Linked DNA regions of Caenorhabditis elegans. The protein of the gene in region 1 interacts with the protein of each later gene in a pairwise test. Each region holds a gene or a part of one and is shown on either strand. Other genes may lie near its edges. The genes, in order: tbc-8 and rund-1.

Evidence for each region.
Region 2: the proteins of tbc-8 (region 1) and rund-1 interact in a two-hybrid assay, tested with the Caenorhabditis elegans proteins (one study listed by BioGRID).

Annotation. Positions count from the first base shown.
Region 1 is NC_003281.10:10,363,206-10,373,776, forward strand, and holds tbc-8 (Rab GTPase-activating protein tbc-8), read left to right. Parts: upstream 1-1,750; 5' UTR 1,751-1,860; coding exon 1,861-2,015; intron 2,016-2,573; coding exon 2,574-2,691; intron 2,692-3,243; coding exon 3,244-3,569; intron 3,570-3,734; coding exon 3,735-3,808; intron 3,809-5,549; coding exon 5,550-5,677; intron 5,678-6,176; coding exon 6,177-6,333; intron 6,334-6,560; coding exon 6,561-6,914; intron 6,915-7,119; coding exon 7,120-7,285; intron 7,286-7,532; coding exon 7,533-7,586; intron 7,587-7,634; coding exon 7,635-7,836; intron 7,837-7,998; coding exon 7,999-8,166; intron 8,167-8,255; coding exon 8,256-8,384; intron 8,385-8,431; coding exon 8,432-8,574; intron 8,575-8,620; coding exon 8,621-8,718; intron 8,719-8,763; coding exon 8,764-8,873; intron 8,874-9,096; coding exon 9,097-9,193; intron 9,194-9,542; coding exon 9,543-9,713; intron 9,714-9,757; coding exon 9,758-9,849; 3' UTR 9,850-10,029; downstream 10,030-10,571. UniProt on the Caenorhabditis elegans protein: Interacts with numerous Rab family members, functioning as Rab effector for some, and as GTPase activator for others. GTPase activator for rab-2. In association with ric-19 activates rab-2 during dense core vesicle maturation in cholinergic motoneurons.
Region 2 is NC_003284.9:652,156-663,641, forward strand, and holds rund-1 (RUN domain-containing protein), read right to left. Parts: upstream 9,623-11,486; 5' UTR 9,603-9,622; coding exon 9,497-9,602; intron 9,453-9,496; coding exon 9,386-9,452; intron 9,140-9,385; coding exon 8,995-9,139; intron 8,950-8,994; coding exon 8,722-8,949; intron 8,679-8,721; coding exon 8,442-8,678; intron 8,391-8,441; coding exon 8,260-8,390; intron 7,793-8,259; coding exon 7,669-7,792; intron 7,604-7,668; coding exon 7,292-7,603; intron 7,244-7,291; coding exon 7,119-7,243; intron 6,691-7,118; coding exon 6,623-6,690; intron 6,576-6,622; coding exon 6,469-6,575; 3' UTR 6,322-6,468; downstream 1-6,321. Other genes in the region: Intermediate filament protein ifc-2, read right to left, coding at 825-927, 2,635-2,666; lpr-7 (Lipocalin domain-containing protein), read left to right, coding at 4,110-4,270, 4,431-4,499, 4,554-4,676, 4,808-4,925, 5,525-5,573, 5,616-5,701, 5,752-5,821, 5,869-6,052 and 1 more.

The DNA.
Region 1 (10,571 bases):
AAGAAAAGTTCAAAAATCGAAATTCTTAATAATTTATGGTTCAGTGAGTGGCATTTTTGTGGCATTTTTGTGGGAATTTTGGAGAAGTTTTAAGTTTCTGAAATTATTTTTTAAAGCTATTTACAATTAAATTTATTAAAATAGATACGTTAAAACATTTTTTAAAAATATTTTTGTTAATGAAAAAAATTCGCAAAAATTAAAAAAAAAGTACTATTAAATTTTTTTTCATTCAAACTTTCTGAAACGTTCTAAAAAAAAATTGTCAGAAATTATGTTTCTTTTTCAACATTAAAGTATATTTGTCTGGAATTAAAAATCTCTTTTTCAATTTTTAAAACTATATTCTTCTCCGCAATTTCAGTCAAATTTCAGACATCACCGAGTTATTTCCAACAAAAAAAAAACAAAAAATAAATCAAACTGTTTCACATTTTCCCCCTTTTCTGATTTATGAGTTTGTCTGGCCAACTCCAAGAGCACCAGGCTTCTCCTTTTTCTGTCTTTGTGTGTTTTTTTTTCATATTTCAAAGAAAATTTGAAATGCACATTTCTGTGTTTTGTGTGACAAGTTCAAGTGCACTGGAAGCAGGGAAAATTGTTTTTTCTCCTAGTTTTTAGTCTGTTTCCAGTTTTTGAAAATGTTCCTTTTTTGAATTTGATTTTCTTGCTCTGAGATTTTTTTTGTTGTTGGAAAAACTAATTTTTTATAAAAACTTTTAAAAAATGTATTGAAAGGTGTTTGAATAGTTAAAAATAGTTTGAATACATAGATCCCAATTCTGATCAAAATTTGAACTTTTTGCAATTTAAAATTGGAAATAATAAGCACAAATTGAAAAAAAAAACATATTTTTTTCCTGAACAATTACTTTCCCAAACTGGCAAATTATACCTTAAAATATGCTCCAATTATTTCAAAAATATTTAAAAAATTTGAACATTTTTTCCGTCTGACTTCCAATTAGAACAGGTGAACTTTATTCCTTTTTCAAAAAAGTTTCAAAAAGTTTTTCAGCTCAGTTTCACACAATTATTTTTTCAAAAAAGTCTCAAAATTTCCGTCGATTTGTGATGCTTCATCCTCCTTCTCGTCTCAAACTGTTGAATATTCATGTGGATTTCAATTTTTTGTTCCCCCCTATTTCGTCTAAAATTCTCCCTAGTTTTCTCGAAAATGACATGTTTCGTGCCAAAATTTAAATTGGGCTCTCAGTTTTGAGCTCATTTTTTCGAACATTTTGGGAAAAAATTAAATTGGTTATGAATTAAAAAGACAAACATTGAGAGCATTAAATTTCACTTTTTTTTTCGAAAATTTCGAGGATTAGAAATTTGAAATCGATCCCAAATTGTTCTTTATTTTCTCAAAAATCTGTTAAAAATCTGTTAACTTGTTTGAAACTTCAAAATTCAAAATACGGTACCCCGGTCGCCCATTTCCATCGGTGGCCTCGAAATCTCGGAAAAATCTTCCACACTGATTTTTCAAGGCCTATAAGGTTTGACACAGGGAAAGTTATAAGCATATCTTAGAGTTTAGTTTTCTAGGCCACCAAAAATATTTTCTAGGCCATCATATGCTATTTTTCATATATTCTCATTGCTCATCTTAATCAAAAAAACCTTTTCCATTTTCCTTGACTCATCCCTTCCTTCTCCTCTTCTTTTTCTTTCTCTTTCCTGTTATTTTCCCGTTCCGCTCAGAAATTGCCATGTTGGTTCTTATTTTTCCCTTATTTTTTTTTGCAGAGTCCAAAAAAAAGAACACGGAGCAATTATTGTGTGCTCCGAAAAAGCTCCGCCCACTTCTAGCCCTTGTAATCTGTTAGGAAGTCAAGACACACACACACACACAAAATGCAAATGTTTCGGCATTCATCGGCAGATATGTGGAGGGCGAAGAAGCCAACACTGGAGAGAAGATCAACTGATGGACGGCGATCTTCTATTGTTGATTGGATTAATGGATTATCGGATAATAACAATTATAAGTCGGATCACTGGGTTGAAAAGTGAGTACTTTTTAGGTGTAAGGGGTGGTCAGACCCCTGTGGCCTAGAAATTTTAGAAACTCTTCCACTAATTTTTCAATGTTGGGTAATATATACATTTTGATAGAATTAATAAGTTTTGCGATTGTCCCAGAGAAATTTCTGAAAACTTCCAAAAAAACAGAAAAAAATAGTAAAATAGTTTCGTAGCCTAGTAAAACCTCTTCCAACACTTTTTCTAGAATATTATTGAGCTTTAAGCAATATAAAAATACGCAGTTAGCTTTTCAAATTGCACCAGAATCCCCTTAACCAAGTATGTGGCCTAGAAATATCGAAAACTCTTCCACCAAGTTTAAGCGACTATCAAAAGGTACCCCATCTCGTATTCCCTCATGGCCTAGAAATTAAAAAAAAACCCTTCCACGTTTCTATGCCACCTAGGGATTTTCTAGGCCACGAGAGAATTCAGCATGACCTATATATTTTTTTTTTGAAATTAATTTGAAAAAACATTTTAATACAAGTAAAAAACAAGTTTTGTTATTATTTTATGCAGTTTCAAAAAAATAATTTCAGACATGACGAGGGGTGCGAGCGAATGACAAGAAACGGAAGTGTTTGTGCTGTTGAAGAGTCAGAACCAGATGTGCCCACGCAACACAGAGAAGTTTTACTCACAAAACTGAAAATTGAGGTATTTTGAGGGGAAAGTTATCTGTAGAAGCACTTGTAAACAGGGGTGCGCAACAATTTGCAGTTTTGGCAATTTTTGAAATTTAAAAAAAATTTCCAACAGAGCCAAATTTCTGATAATTTGAAAATTGTCAGGAAAATCAAATTTCTGAGAAAACAATTGGTGGGATTTCAAATATTCCTAGAAAACCTTAGAAATTACTTTTAGAAAAACCAAGGAATTTCTGAAAAACACTTTGAAACTTTGAGAAATTTCTATGAAATTGGAGAAATTTCTGGAGACTTAAGAAAACGCTGAGAAATTTCAAAACAACTCGAGAATGTTTTCAAAGGGAAATTCAAGAAGTTTCTGAAAACTTTGAAAAATTTCTAGATAGCTCGAAAAAGTTTAATAAAATTTAAGAAACTTTGGAGAAGGTTCGAGGCATCTTGAAATTGAAAAATGAAAATTCGCGAAAATTTATAGGAATTTTAAAACTTTATTCGGCTTCTAATAATAACAAAAGGTGCCAAATATCACAAAATTGTAAAGATAATTTTGAAATTTTTTTAGATCAAAAATATAATGGCCGAGCACGGAGCAAAAAAGTACTTGAACCTCAACTCCCCATACGTTACCTCACTCTGCATCGCAGTTGATGCTTGTATAATGGATGGTCTCCGGCGTCGGCTACTCACATTATTCAATAGTCCATCATCAATGTCACTTCTTCAAATAATTGCAAAATCAAATGGTCCAGCTCAACAGGTTTTAGATCAGACAAGAGAGATTGAGGAGCTACGGACAAGTGCAATTCCAGTGCATTTGATATGGATTCGTGAGGCTCTGTATTTGAAGTCTTTGTCTACTATTATCAATCATTTTATTGATTCAAAAAGGTTAGCAGAAAAAAAAAAACTAAAATTGGTGTGTCTTTTGAAAAATTGAGAGTTGTTTTAAAAAATGAAACTCTGTTTTGAAATTTTCTCTGGAAAAAAAACCCTCAAAGATTGAATTTTTTGAAAAATATTCCAAAAATATTTGATAAAACTATTCAATTACAGTGTCCGTCGATACTATGACAATAGTGCCCTACTACTGGATCCTGTTAAAGGTCGCCTAGTTGCTACGCTTATGAGTAAGTTTTGAATATTTTTTGCATATATTCAGGGTTAACCAGAAAAACTGGAACTATTTTATCTTTGAAATTCGTGGAATTTTTAGATGTTGTTGTTTTCAAAATATCTGAATTAAAAAATTAGACGAGTTCTAAATATGTTTTTGATTTGGCTCCGTGGCCGCGTGAGAAGAAAACTCGGCCACCGATTAAAAAAATTCTGTGCTCAAAGTTTTGATTTCTAGAGATCATGGAAATACTATAAATAAGAATTTAGAGACCGATAAAGAACAATTTCAGTTAACTTTTTTTCCGAAACAATTTATTTTTCTGGTGCTTCACCATCTTTTTTGTGGAAAACGAACATTTAAATTTTTAGAAAAAATTTCTCACGCTTTTTAGATGTGGCTTGCAATGCTCTGCCTTTTTTTGGATTGAAAAAATAATTTTAAAATTTTGAAATTATCGATTTTTGTAAACTCCCCAGAAAGTTAACCGGAAATTAAAATTAAAAGTGCCTCCTCAAGAGTTTTTGTTTCTCCCGTTGCACTTCCAGCCCCTAATTATTGATTAAAAATGCCCATCTTCTTCCGGTGCTACCACACACACACACATTGCTCTCCTTTTCCCGTGCTCCAGCTCCTCAGGCACAAAAAGAGAGACGGAGACGTGGAAACTGAAAAAAAGAGGACAAAAATAAAGAAGGCGTTGTGTGAGAGCTCCACGCTTGAGAGCTCTCTCACATGCTTTTTCCCTCTCTATCTGAGCCGTAAGCTGCTGGAGCCAAAGCAGCCGGACACAGCCGGAGAAGCAACAACATACTTAAAAATCGAAAAAAAAGCATTCGTTTTTTTATTTTTATTTTAATTTTTTAGAAATGTGTTCTTTAATTTATAATTCAAAAAGCCTCTGCTCAAAATTTACATATTTTCGGGAGAGAAACTCGGTCGCCTAAAACAAGGGGAGCCCATAAATAGGAAATTACGTTTTCCGCCTGCCGTTTTCGTTTTTTTTGTTCTTTTTCAAACATTTGAAGAGGAAAAGCTTGGAGGCTTTTTTTGGAATAATTGATGAATCAAATGCGCCACTTTCCTCTAGATTCTTTTAGCTTTACCTTGTATTTTTTTTGACAAAAAGTTATGCTAAATTTGAAACTGCAAGTTGATAGAAAAAAACGGAGAAAAGTTCAGTTTCGCGCTAAAAAAAATTTCTCAGAAAATATTGTATTTCCCGCCAAATTTTCAATACGAAAAATGGTACTTGTATATTATAATTGCACATGTTATAAAAATTAACTTGCCGTAGGAAATAATAATTTCTAAGCCAATAAAAAATGTATATTGGAAAATTGAAAAAATTTCAAACTATCGTCATTCTTCTCTCAACTTTCTTTGACTTTTTCCATAATTCCACCACTAAAAATTGCTCATCCGATCCCTCCCTGCCAATTGAAAACTACATTTATTTTTTGTTGCTGCGGGAAAATGTCTCATCTGCGAGCTTCTTCTGTGTGAGTGCTTCTGTTTACAGACTAATCGAGTTTCTCTCAAACTGAGCGCCTTTTTCACTACTAATGGAGCATTGAGCTCTCTTTCCAAAGAAGAGATGAAGCTTTTTCATGCTCACAGAGCAACTAATGAATATGTCGCTCATTTTGGAGCATCATCATATTTTGTGCAAAAGAAGCCTCTTTCTAATCCCATTTTGAAATAAACTTTTTTTTTTCAAAAACTGAAAACTTTCAAATGTTTTGTTGTTGCAGTGGCTCCGTGCATGGTAACATATCGAAGAATGAGCAACCGAATTGAGCAAGAAGCCACTGCTGAAGAGCTCGTAGAAGGAGCAACACGTGGATCCACATCCACAGTTCCGTCTAGGCCACCACTATCCGTTAGTTTCGGAGCCAAAAATTAATACTTGCAATGTTCTAAATGATTAGAAATTAAAGTCTCGTTAGGTACTGGCAAAGCCGTAAATTCGATGGTGCGTTTTTTCCGAGAAATTTTTTTTAATTTGTTGTTATTTGTTCACTGTTGTTTAAGATTTTTATGTCTAAAATTCTGTAAGACATTTTATTTTATTTTATTGATTTTTCCATCAATAATTTTAAAACCACGGCAAAAAATAATTTTAAAAAAAGTTTTTTTTTTTGAAAAAAATCAATAAATAAAAAAAATTCTCATTCATGACTTTGCCGCCAATACCTAACGAGACCCCAATTATAGGGGCGGAGCGTTTTCAGTTGCCGTTGGAGCGAGATTTTACTTTGATAGTATTTATATGTAATAATTAGAAATTTAAAAAAAGTAAAAATTGTCATCAGAATCAGGAAGCGAACTAAATTTTAAAAAACTGCGTCTTCAGAAAATCAAAAAAATTCATTTTTTAGATAACCCGTCAAGTGTCTAGTATAGCAGCTTCAGTTGAAAGGAATGGCTCCGTGAGCCGTGATTATGTATTTTCACTTCATCACAGCTGCAAATCGACCCTTCTTTATGGAAAGAACAATGTTTGTGTCGCAATGAATGGAAGCGATTTTGCAAAGGGTGAGCAGCTCCAAAATAATTTTAGAACTTTTCTGACTTTTTTCAAATTGACTCCTAAATTTGTTTAATGGAAAATTTGAATTTCGCGCTAAAAAAAATTATTGCATTAAAATGCACTTTTGGAGAATTTTAAATTTGGCTCTTTTCGAATTTCCCGATAAAAATTTAACTTTAAAAAAACAAATTTGTCCAAAATTAAATATTTTTATTCAACATTAGTTTTTCAGGTTACATGTCGCTTCAAAAGTTCTACGACGGAAACCTTTCTCTAAAATGGGTACCCAATCAACTTATGCACGCGAGTTCTCAGCCCTCTTCAGGACACTCAAATAATGGAGAATTTACAAATATTTGGAAGAATACTATAAATATTGAAATGCAAGACATTATCTACATTCATTTGCATCAAAAAGATGAGATCTCTCCGACATGCTTGACATTTGTCAATTGCGAAGGAGTTCAATCAGCTCCATTCCAATTACCTGCTGGTCAACATTCAATTGCATTTCTTTCTTCACTTGAGACGGGTTTAGCTCCACTTCTGAGGCTTGATCCTCCACTTTGGGTTGGCACGACTAAAGGTAGGAATACATTAAGTGTGAACTTTAATTTTATTTTTTAAAAGTTCTCCAAAAAATGATAATAAATTCGAAACTTTTAGTGCTCAGTTATCAAAAAGCCTACTAAATTCTAAATTATAATGTTAGGCATACATGAATTATCCCTTTTTGTGCCTAGCAACCGAACTCCCCGAGCAGCTGATATTATTATTATTATATATTTCAGAGAAAATTTTGCCTCGTCTACGAAAGCGGTCTACGGCAGTGGCGAATCCTGCTATGCTTGACTACGTTTTTCGTTTGGTAAGAACTTCTGGTGTTGAACCGGCTCCAGAGGATATTGAAGATCCACTTGCACCAACATCACATTCTCCTCCGATTCATGATAATTGGTGAGTTAAGAAATTTTAAAAAAAGTTAAACAAATTTCACAAATTTTGAAACAAAACTAGTAAAGATTTTTTGAAAAACAAATTAAAAATTAAGTCATTTTTATTTCATTTTTAATGAAAACAACGTAAACAAAATCGGAATAAATATTTAAATAATTTTTAAATTTCGAAAATTTTAAACCAATTTTCTATTTTATTTCCGTAATCCCATTTCTTTGTCAAATAACTCAACTCTATTTATTTTCAGCGTCTCTCTGCCAAACTCACCGTATATTGTCGATAATGTGGATAGTATTGTAAAGTAAGAATCATTATTTTATTTAAATTCTAAATTTATCCAAATTTTCAGTTTCCAAATCGGCACGGCTTGCCAATCGATGAGAAATCAAATAATGGCTCGTGCCTTTTACGGGTGGCTCACCTATGTTAGGCATCTGAGGACTATTCGAACGCATTTATTACATTTGGTGGATACAAAAACATTGATTTGTGATGATGATTGTGATCCGGTCGATGAAAAGTTCTGGAAGCAAGCTAGAGCAGAGCCTACTGTAAGTGTTTCAGGATATGCTGAAATTTAAAGAAAATCAAGCTTGGTTCTAGCGGCCGACATCTCACGGGCGGAGCTGCTGCCCGTGAATGTGTCGGTCGCTCTCTTCGAGTTCTTCAAAATTAGCCAGCTTCTTCAAGGAATAACCATTTTTTTGTTTCAGGAAGAAAACGAGAAGGAATTTTTAAAACGGGTCTACTGGAGAGGAATAGAAGGAATTAATACAAAAGAAGTCCGAAGAATGGCGTGGCCGTACCTTCTAGGATTGTTTGAATGGAATGAGAGTCCAGAGTCTAGGCTGGAACAGTTTACGAGTCAGTATTGGCAAGATGTGAGTTTTTTTTTCATTGTAGGTACAAAATAATTGTCAACTGAAATATTTCTAAAAAAAATATAGCTGGTCAACTGATATGTTTTCAGATAGAAGAATGGCGAGTTCTTGAGGCAGAAGTTCGGCGTAGAGACGAGGAAGCCTTCCGAGCGGCGAGAGCTCGAAAAGCAGCTTCACCAGTTCGAGAGGAGTCGTGCGATGTTTTCGAGGATCCGAATGTAAGTGGCATAAAAATTGTGGCCTAGAAACCCAATTCCTCTTCCAGGAGCCAACATGCTCTCAGCACTACGACCGCGAGAACTTGATCACCTTATTCCGCGCAAATCTGCACAGAATTGACAAGGACGTGGAGAGATGCGATAGAAATTTGATGTTCTTCTCGAATAAAGACAATTTAGAGAGCTTGAGGTAACGGATGAAAGTAGATCAAAATATTAACCTGAAAATGTTTCAGACGAGTAATGTACACATATGTGCGCCGAAACCTCGAAGAAGGATATACTCAAGGAATGTGCGACTTGTTGGCTCCACTGTTGGTTACTTTTGAAGATGGTAAAGAACATTTTTAGGGTGCCTGAAAAAATGTGCATATTTCAGAGGCTTTAACACTTGAGTGCTTCTCACTTTTGATGCTTCGGCAACGAGGAAAGTTTCCGCAACGTCCAGGGATGTCAAAGTGTCTGTTGAACTTGAGATCATTGATACAGGTGAGAGAGGCAACCATATTTAGAATCTGCAAAGTAACCTTGAGTACTGTAACCATACAGTAACCCTGCTTACTTTTTCGTGCCAAGTTCGTAGAGACAAACGGATTCACTATAAGCTTGAACGAAATCAAAAACAGTTACTTTATAGTAATCCTGAATAGTCCTAAATAGATCCATTTGATTAAAAATAGCGTAATCCTACAGTAACCTTACATGATTTCAGGTTGTCGATCCACAAATCTACGCCCTTATCTCTGACATCGACTATGCTCAAGCACTATCGTTCGCTTTTAGATGGTTTTTGCTGGACTTCAAACGAGGTGAGCATTACAGTAATCCTACAGTAGCCAAAAAATGCATTTTGTATGGCATGCGGCCCTAGGCTGAAACTACAGTACTCCTTGATGATGTAGTTGATGTTTGAAGTTTGAGTATACATAAGAAAACATGAGGAAAAAAGTTTATAATTTTGTAGAGGACATACGGTATTTAACTTCTAACCGTACATGTAACATAGGGTAAAACTACAGTACCCTTAGATGGAAAATCGACTTTTGGCACAACCTACAACTTGACCAGATTTTATACTATATACCTCTAGAACATCACTCTACAGTGAACTTACAATTTTAACATTCAGTAAACTTATATGTTAGTACCAAATTCCAGAACTATCCTACGAATGTACCTACAAAGTATGGGAGGTCATCTGGGCTGCTCAGCGACTCCGGATCACAGATGATTTTGCGATTTTCTTTGGCTTGGCAACAATCACCAACTATCACGATGTCCTTATCACAAACAACTTTGACTATACTGATATGATTAAATTTTTCAATGGTATGCAATAAACCCTCATGAATTGACTAATGTTTACATTACAGAAATGGCCGAACGTCACGATTGCTCACGTCTTCTCTCATCGGCTCGCACCCACGTCAAATGTTTGCAGAACCTTGTGCAACACCTCAAGTAGAATGTGTGGGAGAACATCGATTTTCTGTGTCATACGGGTCACTATCCGAATGTGTATTCATGAAAACTTATTATTTTACACTTTTCATAATCAATTTTTTTTCGTCTGTAGTTGACAGCTAGTAGTTTGTATTTATTGCAGAAAATGTATACTTTTAATGAAATTTATGTACGCTATTGTTCTTGTTTCATTGTTCTTTTACACTTCTGCTCGCCGGCGGAGGATCCTTTTGGCCACATCTAACGACGGAAGGGGGGGGGGGTCTGTTGACCCCGCCAGAGGTACTTAGCAACAGATATATGTTTTATTGGATGTTTTATTTATTAGCAATTGAAGGTTTTGGATGTTCTTTGACATATCAAAAATTTATATACATATATATAATATATTTTTTTGAAATGCCATGAAAGAAAGTTTGCATTATTAAATCATCATACGCCTTTTTGAAAAAGCAACTATAAGATTTCTAGGCCACCAACTTCAGTTCCCAACCAATTTTTTCTATTATAGATTAAATTTCCAATTCCACCAGACTACCAGATTTCTAGCTCTAGGCCAGAATCAAAAAAATTCAGGCCACCAGATTCCTAGGCCACGAGTATTTTTCAACCAAATAATGTTCCAACTTTTTTTAATTCAATTCCAATCCGTTTATCTTTGGTCTCTCCTTTACCTTCCACTCGGGTGTCATACTACACATAATAGTGACCCCATTTTGAAAT
Region 2 (11,486 bases), on another chromosome or scaffold:
AAACTAAAAAAATATTTTTTTTATATTGTTTCCCCACAATTTTTGAACACATTCGTTGTAATGTTTTGAGAATTATAGGAGTGAATTAAAGGAAGGTGGAGGAGGGCCTGTGGGGAAATTGTTTTAAAACATGACTATGGTTCCATAACTACCAAATATCAAAAGGAAGAAATCTCAATTTGCATCAAATTCCCTTTTGAATTGGAGTTCGACGCTTGCCTTATTTAAACTTTTAATCATTAATTTTTCACAATTTTAGACTGATTTTTCATGTTTTTTTTGTGTAATTTTACTGAAAATTTAGTGAACAATTCAGGATAAATGTAAATGTTTTATTAAAAAACGGATCTGTGCAGTTGATTATTTCAGGCTCTACGTCGTTGGAAAACTTGCCTTGTTTTTTTTTAGTTTTTCGGTGAGTAATTTAAATTTATCTTGATTTTTCTTGCTGAATTTCCGATGAAATTTCACAAAAAACATTAAAAATCAGGCAAAACATAAGAAAATTTGATGAAAATAATTTAAATACATAAGACAAGCCCGAACTATTGGCAGTAATTCGAATATGAATTTGATGCAAATCGATGTTTTTTTTAACTTCCAAACTTCTCATATAAAATTTAGAAAACTTTTCTGAACATTTTTACTATGATAGTAAGTTATATAGGCATGTTCTAAAGCAATTTATCCACTGGCGCTTCCACAACTTTAAGTTTCAGAATTTTCAAAAAAAAACCGCTTCGTAAATGCTTATCGCCTATTTTCTGCATTTTGATGTGAAGAATAGCTTTTTATTACAAATTCAAATCGGAAAAAGAACATACCTCATCATCTGTAAATGACACAATAAGTGTGCACAATGGAGCTTCTTTCAGCTTACACTCATTCCCTTTCACCACATTTGATGGTACCACGTGATTTTCTCGCCTGAAAACCATGTCAATATCAATTGAGAAATCTCCATAAATGTGTAAAAGTTTGCTTTACAAGGGAAGTCTTTGAGGGGGTCCGTAGATTTGGGGTTCTCATGTTAAAATTCCTACAGAAGAGTGTTAGTTATGATCTCTCCAAAAAATTTAGCTGCCCCGGTCAAGTTTCAGCAAAGTTATGACGTTTTGAAATTTCAGTTAAAAACACCATTGAAATCCACTGTCTTACCATGCAGTCCACGCAAATCTCAGCTTGCGTGACCACCGAAAATGTGACACCCATCACATTGAGTTGAAAAATGTCCTCGGTGGACGAGTTAACTCCCCAATTGGGAGTGCGCGCGTCTGATAAGATTTAAGCTTTGGTTCGATTCCTTCTATTTTTGAAATATTTTTGTAAGTTGAATAAAGTTGTAAAACAACTCATTCAAACATTTTTGCGCATTTTTAAAGTGATTTTATTCTTATTCGGGAACCTAGAATCATTGTCCGCACTTTTTGGAAATTTTTATTTTTTTCATTGTTGCTCAAAATTTCTTGATCAACACCAAGCAAAAAATTCAAAAAATTTCATTTTTCTAAACAATTATGAAATTGCTATGTTGTTGTTCAGAAATGTATGAAACGTACATTACACAAGTTTTAACTCTCTATTCGCAAGTAAACCGTCGAAATGATCTACATCTCACGAACTTTGTGCAAAATATGTAACCAACTTTGAAGTTGCATAACTTCGTTGAGATAAATTATTTTGAAAAATGATCAACTAACAAAATGTTTGTTGAATAACAGTGAACAAAGTTTTAGTTATAAACTTTTTGATACCTTCAGCCACCAAAAAGTTGTGACCGTTTTCCAAAACACAATGTTAATAGAAAAACTAGCCAAATGCCAACCTTGTTTTCTTCTTTGTAGCTGGAGGTATCAAAAAGTTTATAACTAAAACTTTGTTCACTGTTATTCAACAAACATTTCGTTAGTTGATCATTTTTCAAAATAATTTATCTCAACGAAGTTATGCAACTTCAAAGTTGGTTACATATTTTGCACAAAGTTCGTGAGATGTAGATCATTTCGACGGTTTACTTGCGAATAGAGAGTTAAAACTTGTGTAATGTACGTTTCATACATTTCTGAACAACAACATAGCAATTTCATAATTGTTTAGAAAAATGAAATTTTTTGAATTTTTTGCTTGGAGTTGATCAAGAAATTTTGAGCAACAATGAAAAAAATAAAAATTTCCAAAAAGTGCGGACAATGATTCTAGGCTCCCGAATAAGAATAAAATCACTTTAAAAATGCGCAAAAATGTTTGAATGAGTTGTTTTACAACTTTATTCAACTTACAAAAATATTTCAAAAATAGAAGGAATCGAACCAAAGCTTAAATCTTATCAGACGCGCGCACTCCCAATTGGGGAGTTAACTCGTCCACCGAGGACATTTTTCAACTCAATGTGATGGGTGTCACATTTTCGGTGGTCACGCAAGCTGAGATTTGCGTGGACTGCATGGTAAGACAGTGGATTTCAATGGTGTTTTTAACCGAAATTTCAAAACGTCATAACTTTGCTGAAACTTGACCGGGGCAGCTAAATTTTTTGGAGAGATCATAACTAACACTCTTCTGTAGGAATTTTAGCATGAGAACCCCAAATCTACGGACCCCCTCAAAGACTTCCCTTGTTAGGTATCTACTCACTTTTTGCCACCGGAGTCAGACGGAACCAGCATATTCAGTTCTCAACGATTGAAAACAAGGATAGTGAGGAAATTGTATAACTTACAATTGTTTGTTGATATTTAGTTGACAAATAACGTGAAAACTGTTGGGCAAGGGAGTTATTCCGCCCCAAACTTCTCAATATTCAAAAGTGTATTCCGTAAGTTGGGATTGCATGTAATTGTATTCAGCTAATCCTCTTTTGAGTGCTACATTGATTCTCACACGTTAAGTTCACAACTTTCCCGAATTGAAGAGATAATATTATATAACCGGAAGTTTGAGGTTTTTGAAACTATTGAGAAAGTGTCACAGGAAAGAGACATGCCAAAAAATTTATCAATCCAGTTCAGCGAATTTTCTAACGTTCACAAAACTGATGAGTAGGATCAAGGGGGTCGATTCATTCAAAAAAGGCTCGGTTCAGGAATGCGTGCTGGCACAAGGCAATGCTAGTCCAAGCAGGCATGCAGACATTTTCTCCTAACTTTGTGATATACAAAGACAATTAATGTCCCGTTGTTGTAAGTAGAAGACATACCAATGAAACAAAATCATATAAAAAAATAGTATAAATATTCCGAATTTTATATGATTTTTTGAAAAATGGTATTAAAATTTTGCTATTTTTTTAGAAGTCGTGGAAAAATTGTTTGTTTCCAAATTTTATGTTTTATTTAAGTTTCAAAAAGTAACATTCGAAAATTATTAGAGTTCGAGTGCTACAGTTCTCACAAGAAGTGGCCTAAACTTAGTAATTGTCACTTTTTGACTTTTGACAATCACAGTTATTGAAAAAAATTTGTATTATAATATTTGGTTATTTTGGCACCGTTGGATGTTCTTAACAGTTTCTTAACTAAAGTTACTTCGCACTTGATCAATTTTGAAAAATGTATAATTATTTTGCTCGCTTTGTTTTTACGTAACACAATAGCACACCCACAATAAATGAACACTGCTCGACTGTAAACTTACAGTTAAATTGTTCAATCCGGTGAATTTTGGTCAATCTCTACCCCTGGTCAACCCTGGTTAATGATTCAAATTTAATTCCCCGGAATTTTTTTGACGCCCTACTGGAAGCTGGGAAATGTACGGACGTACACTTTCATCATAAACATTTTTTTCAGGAAACGATAAATTCACTCGAGCTCCTTTAAACACTAAATCAAAAAACCCGTTTGAAATCAAAATTCAAATTTTTATCTGAAATTTTATTTTTTCTCATAAAATTCAATTCTGAAAATCTTTTCCTTTCCATTAAACCGAAACTAGCCGCAATATAAGCAATAATCAATTAAAATTATAAAGAAAAAATCCGGATTTTTTCTGACAGTGCCAGTGATTTCTCTTTTTCTCACTGTCATCTTTCTCCCTATCCGACATTCCTTTTTCCACGGAGGAGACGATATCCGCCGCCTGACACTATTTCGGTGGTGGTCGTCATAATAATGCGGCATAATAATGGTCTATATCACGCAACGTTCTACTTCTTTACTATTATTATTTTTTTTTCGTTCTCACCTGTAAACTGTCAGTTTTTGGAAATATTTGGTTTGTCTACTGGAGATGCGGGAACTCATGATAGGGGTCCGTTTCAGGATCTGGCTACGTAAGTTGGTTGACAAAAGTATTTATGCATCGTGACTGCTTTTTTAGTCGGTTCTACAGATTTATCACAATTTTTGCAAAAAGATTCCTCAAATCATTAAAAGCTTATATTTACAGAATTTCAGTTAGAGCAGCTATAATTTGAAAAAAAATGTTTTCAGTCAATCGGTCGGTCTCATGAAATACCTGCAAACAGTGCAGAAGAATCCAGACAACACTCTAGCCAAAAAGTAATGCTGTCTTAGTTTTTAATAGAGTGTATTTAAATTTTTTAAATATTCCAGATTGAAAAACCCATTACCTTCTATGAATTTGGTAGATGGAATGCCTGTTGTGCCAGGTCTTTTGGGAAGTTTACCAGGAGCCGGATCGTGTTTGCCACGTGGATCACCGCTTATTAAGGACAAGTAAGCTTTTTTATGACCAAAATTCGTGGGAATGAATGTATTTGAGAAGTATTTGTAGTCTGTTTCAAATCAACCTTACAAAAGTTAGAAAAAACCAAAAGAGTATGAATCATCATTCATTTTTCTTCAAGGTCACCAAGCTTCTTCCAAAATATCTTGCGCAACATACCGGGCGCTCAGGATTATCTGGCCAGTTTATTGCCCGCGCCAAAAGTCGACGTCAGGGCTTTGTATGGCAAGTTCCAGTGGGTGAGTGTGTGTGATAAGAGATCACCATAATGATCAGAAAACAAAAGTAGTGTTAAGCTCTGTCATACATTATTTGTATTATGTAATGACTTTTTGAAACTAAAGAAAAAATTTTTAACAACGGAATGACACAGAACATGAATTTTTCTTTCAATACGATTGTCAAATTTCAGCTCAAAAAAGGGAAAAAGTGACAAAGTGATTTTTTAACAACTAAAAAAATATACATCTTTTTGACGAGCAAAGTATGTATATGGTGGAGGGTTACTTCCAGACGAGTCCCATTTAAAACTTGTGATTTCACTAATCTATCACAAAAATTGAAACATCCACTGAATTTTCAAACTTTAATTTTTTCAATTTGTATTTTTTTCACAATTTTCTAGTACTGCAGAAGTGCTCCAAAAGTTACTTTCTATGAGACAAACATAATAAAAATTTCTGAGTATTTTTTTTGTTTTATTTAAAAAACGTGACAAATTGACTTCCACCTTTAACTTCGAAACATTAGTTTAAAATATATCAGTTACAATGTTTCATTAGAACAAAAAATTCGAGTTATAGAATTTCAATGCGAAACGAATACAATACCTTTCCAGGCTCTGGACACTCCATCTGTTCATAATCGGTATTGCGCTACAACTGAGTGTAAGTGTAATTTATCAACCCCCAACAAGAAATGTATTTCAGTCATGCCCCAAGCAGAATCGGGAAATTCGTCAGCTTTCAGTTTGCAGGAAAAGTTCAGAGCAGGAAGTGTAGATGCGGGGGAGAAAGTGAGTATTAATTACTAATTATTTTGAAGAATATTATTTTGAAAGTTTAGGTTGCATTTGGATACGGAATAATTCATCACGAGAGAACATATGTCTATATGCAGGATGATCCGTGTCCATGTAAACTTTTTTGCTAATTTTCACATATCACAAAAAACTAATTTCAGATCAAATTGTAGTAGTTGGCCCAATAAATAAGCAACACAACCAGTATGAATACCTAATTCTCTCAAATTGGGCTCGTTTCCCAATGATTGGTTTAGTTCGAGATTTGAGAAAGTTCTATAAAGAGTACAAGGATCAAGTGGAGACCGATTTGGAAAAAGCCGGATTCATGGATGATGTCACAGGGTAGGTTGGGCTTTTGGGCCCGCAAGATGTCCTTACATTAATGAACGGAAAACGTTTTTTAGTATCCGACAACCGTTGGGAATTCATATCGAATTTGACTTTTCATAAAAAATTATTTTTCAGAAGCAACCCTATTCATTACGCCGACTGGTCACAGTGCAAAAAAGCAACTCCATACAATTATCTTACAAATGTTCTCACTGATCTTTTTGGGTAAATTATCAATCATACTTCAACACTTTCATTTAAGTACTAACGTAATTTATTTTCCATTTTATTGTTTTTATTGAATAAAACAATTTTCAAAAAAAAAGTGGCAATTAATTTATTTTATCCCGAACCTGTTTTAAACTGTCTTGATTGTTCAGTTCCAGTCATTTTAATATGCTTATTACAAATTTTTTGATATTATAGTACTAAAATGCGTCTTTGATTTGTTCGAATGGCCTCAAAGCCAAGTCAACCGGTAAGTGAATACTATATTTGTGAAGACCTTCGAGAAGTGTGTAGAGTTCCTCACAGCCTGAAAATAACGAGTTGAAAATGGAAAAAAGAGAAGATGGTACCCACCTGTTCTTGCAACATAACTCCAAGAGTTGTAGCACATTTCGACAACTTGTCGGGTTCGAAATATGATCCTGCAAACAAATTTAATTAGTTTGGACATTTGAAATAAGGGCAATTGACGGGTATTAATATATGTAGCAGCTCAAGGATTTGATATAAAATAATTGGTTTTTTGTTTGAGATCACCCTAAATAAATGAACTCGTACGAGATTATTAGCAATAATACTAACAAGTTAATTAATGTCTTGCAAAGTTCTAATAGGTAAAACATCAAAATTCTTATGGAATTTCAAGCGGATAAAGTCCTTGTCAAGATGAATATTTATTTCAGACGTGTTTCTACATTTTCTGAGGTTTTCAGTCTAGGAGGAACGGCATGATCTAAAATTGCACTGTATTTTGGAGTGCGTCTTATTTTTTGTGTACACAAAGTGGTAAACGTATGATCTAAATATTCAAAAGTTGCGCGGTTTTTTTACGAAAAAAAGACTTCCGTACCTCAACCAAGCAGGTAATTTTTTCTCATTCAAAGCAGCTGAGACAAATGCTTTCCAATGCGCATCTTTTGATCTTTTTAATCTTGCGTGAGTCGAGATGATGTTTTCAATTGTTGTCAGCAAAACCTAAAAAATTAATTCGCTTGTTCGCGTCCTTAAAAAAACAGATTCTACCTGTTTTGAAGTTATGCTTCTTCCTCCGACGTGATCCAATTTAAAGGATTGACTCAATTTTCTTACAGGAGCATCTGTGGTGTCTCTTCCAGTTTTTAAATTATAAAAGTATAAAATCACATCCCAAATATGACTCAATGACGTTGATTTCTCGTCCGCCGAGCTTTTTGCGACAAAACAGCCTAACCCCGGTATCCGCTTGTGCACCACTGTTTCTGAGAGCATCCCATGCTCTAGAAGGGCTTTCAATGCAAGACACAGCTGCTTTCGGACAATAGTTACCACTTCCTCTTCAGATCGTTCAAAGACCTCCTGAAATGTGATATTGCGAAATGAAATATCTCCTCATGTGAGAATTTGTGAATTTTGTGCCCTACGTCATTTTCTACTTGAACTTCTTCTAATTGGCCTTTTGTTGCCGAGTCGAATGTCAGTAGGGTGTATTTTTCCAGCACTTGTTGTGTGGCGTCTACTGCTAGTTGCACATGCGCCCGTTCGTCTCTGCAAAAAGTTTGAATGAAAGATGCTCGCATAATGGAAGTGAATGTGGGAAATTGAACAATAAAATCGTGTTTTTTTTGGCAAAAATATTTTGATAAACCGAACATTAAAATTATATTTGGGAAGTTACATTTTTTGGTCAGTGGTTAGTGCAAAATTTAATTTTGTCAGTGCTAGAACCAATTGAAGATTGTTCGTTTCATAATCAAAACTTGAAAAAGTGAAAATTAAAATTTTTTATAATCAGACAAATATCCGAAACCCAAAGTTCTTGTAGTATGTCAAAAACACACATCATTAAAGTTTGGCTCAATAAATGTGTGCAAATACGTGATCTGTATCTTGTGGTTTGAGCAAACACGTATAGTGGTGTTTTTTGCTCACATGTTTGTATCAAACTTTTAATAAATATTTTTATCGATTTAAAAAGCGTAAATATTTTTCGATCACAAACTTGAGAAACTAACCCATAATGATTTCCTTTCAAAGTATTTTTCAGCTGATTTTTCTGAAACCTTCCTGTTGAGCACCCGATGATTCCACTTAAAAATGATCCGTTTTTAGATTTGGCACCAGACAGCGGCGTTGATCCCATGCTCTGAAAGAAAAAATTGACTAGAAAATTAGTGAAAAACAACAATGATCATACCCGAACCGGTGTAGTTTGATTCGAATTTTCAGCATTCTCTTTCTGAAGAAAGTTGACAAAACGTTCCAAATCTGTGATCTGAGTCTGAAGTTGGTCTACTAGTTGTCCCTTTTCTTTGAACGGATTGACAAGTTGCTTCAGAGCATCATCTACTTGCCGTTGTATTTCTGTTTGGTTCATTTTATCTATGTCTAGATTTAACTCGATTTTTTCGCGGAGTTTATCCAGAACGGCTTTCTACAAATTAAAATTCAGCATAAACTCTTACTTTTATACAAACCTGTTTCTTCAAAATGTCAGTACTTGGAAGCTCGCCTTCTCCATTTTCATAGGCAGTCCTTTCCAAGTCTTCTACTTGCTCGCGGAGCTGTTTTAGCAATTCTTTTTGTCGTTCATTTTGCTTGTCTAGTACATCATTTCCACTTTCACTTTCACTTCGTAGCCTTTGCAGCTCGTTCATGTCTGTGCAACCCTTGAAAGCAAATTTTTGAAGATCAGAGAGCAACTTCTGGAAAAGACATATGAGATGAGGCAACTGAGCCTAATAGCTTACTAATCTATCGCTTGGGTCCGCTTCATTCATTTGCTTTATCCGGAACTGCACCTGCGCAAAATGGGAGCTCAGGGAAAATAACGAGTTATTGAGTCGTTCCTGCTCTTCTTCCAATTGTTGTACCCGTAATGCATCGTTTAAGCTTCTAAAAATTGAGTTCTGAGTTTATCAGTTAAAGGTAGTGCAGTCAAATTTTTTTTTATTGCTTTACCGAATTTCATAATAAAAATTTTTGAAAACTTCTCGAAAAAAGTTATGGAAAAAGTCAAAAAATGATTTTGATGAAATAAAGCATTAAAAATAATTGGACTACATCAATTTAATGAGATATTCAGGATTAAAATTTTTGAACCTACTGTTGCATTGACCACAATTTACACAAAAAGCTTACCCAATATCATCACTATGACTAGAAGACAACCGAGCACTTTTCCATTCAGTTTCAGACATTGTGTCATCTGAAAACAATTATTTCAGAAAACAAAAATCACTTTTAACTCACAAAAATCCAATCCATCCACAATTTCTTTTGAATCTTCGGACGCTCGCTTTTTTAAGGATTGACCCAACTCTACTAGCAAGTCGCTGGCTTCCAACTCGTTCATCATTTTGGCAAAATTTCTGGCACCTGAAACAATACGTTGAAAAAAAATTAATAAAAAAAATAATTATATATTATTACGAATGAATAACACGTACATTTTCAAAATTTTGTTTGAAGTGATGATTATTTTGAGATTGTTAATTGAAAGCTGAACAAATTCCATTTATTGAAACAAAATGAAAATGAAAAATGGGAGTGGACAAATAAATTACATCACGAAACATTAAAAACAATATATACTTTACTTTTTTTTCATTTTCCAATTTCCGTTTTTCTGCTAAAAGGGTTTTCAGAGAAGAGAAAAACTGAAAAAGAAAAAGATGACGTATGCTTTTAAAAAGGATTGCCGGACAAAAAAGGGGAAAAAGAAGGAGAAAAATAACGGAGCACGCAAGAGAGCAGAGAAATGAGGCAACAAACTGCGTCTCGTGTTCTTCATGCACTCTCACGTCGTCGCTCTTGGTTATCGACCGCCATGGGTAACGTGGAGAAAGACGGAAGAAGCATGGAGAAGGGACGCTTTTAGTCTTGGAAATGACGAACGAAATCCTTGTGGGCGGACATAATTATGAGAGCTTTTTCGACATGGAGGGGTTTAATTTTCATATGGCTTTGAAAATGCTCCAGGGTTGCGCGACGACGATTTCTACAAAAACCGAAATAGCGAACTGGCGGATTTAGTTTCATGTTTTTGAAAAACTGCCGAATTTGTCATTTGTCAAATAATATATTTAATAATATCATCAAAACTAATAAAAATTATTTAATTATTTAAAAAAGCATTCACAACTAAGTTTTTGAAATTGTTTTCCGTTTTTGATGTTTTTTGTAGGAAAATGTGGCAAAAGTTGTATGGTATGTTAAATTGGGTAAGAGAGATTAAAGTAAAAATGAAAGAGGTTTTTTCTGTATCTCAAACGCTTTTTTTTTGGCTAAGAAATTCTGATTATCTCGCTCTGAATCATTGAAAACAATTGAACACATGTTGGCCAAAGTTTGCCATAATTGGTTGAGAGGTGGCTAAAGTTGGTTGAAGTTGGCTAAAGAAGACTACAAACGGCGAAAGGTGGCGAAGGTTGGTTGCAAAGCGACTGGTTGCTTAAAAGTGGTAGAAAAGTGGGCAAAGTTGGTTCAGAAGTGGTTAAACATGGTTTGAAAGTGGTGGGAAGCTAAAGTTGGTTGAGAAGTGAGGAACGTTGGTTTAAGAGTGGCGCGAATTTATTCACTTTTCGTGTTGGCTCTGAGAGAATTTAATGAATGCATTCATTTTTAAATTTTCGAAAATTAAATTTCAAAATTGAAAAACCAAAAAATGTTCAGCAATTGCCGTTTCTCCGTAAATTTCGCAAATCGACAGTTTACTGAAATTTCTGAAAATTTTAAAATTCAGCAATTGCTAAGACTTGCCACAAACATAAAGTTTCTAATTTCCTAAAAGTTCTCAAGCCTATGCATTTGTTGTTTTACTTTTAAACTCGAAGTATCTGAGACCTGCTAATATTTTAATGAGAAAAACCTGTCGAAACTTTCCAAATTTGATTTAACGCTATATAATGAAGCTGATAGTGAGATCAAAAACAAAGTTTTATGTTTCAAGAAAATTTGAAAACATTTTATTTAGTTATTTAGCAACTTAACATACACATTACTTAAAAAAGTAAATCTTTTGCTCACTTCTCAATGAATTTATATTAAAACAAATAAATTTTTTTTGTCTAACTTTGAGTTTGTCCGCATTTTCGGAAATTGCCAAACTTTAAAATGTTTGACAAATTGGTGAGTAGGGAGTTTGACAATTTTTTAATAGTCTTGGCAAATAACAAATGTCAGAAAAAAATAAATAAAATATTTTTAAATATAAGTTGTTTTATTTTTTAATATTTTTAAA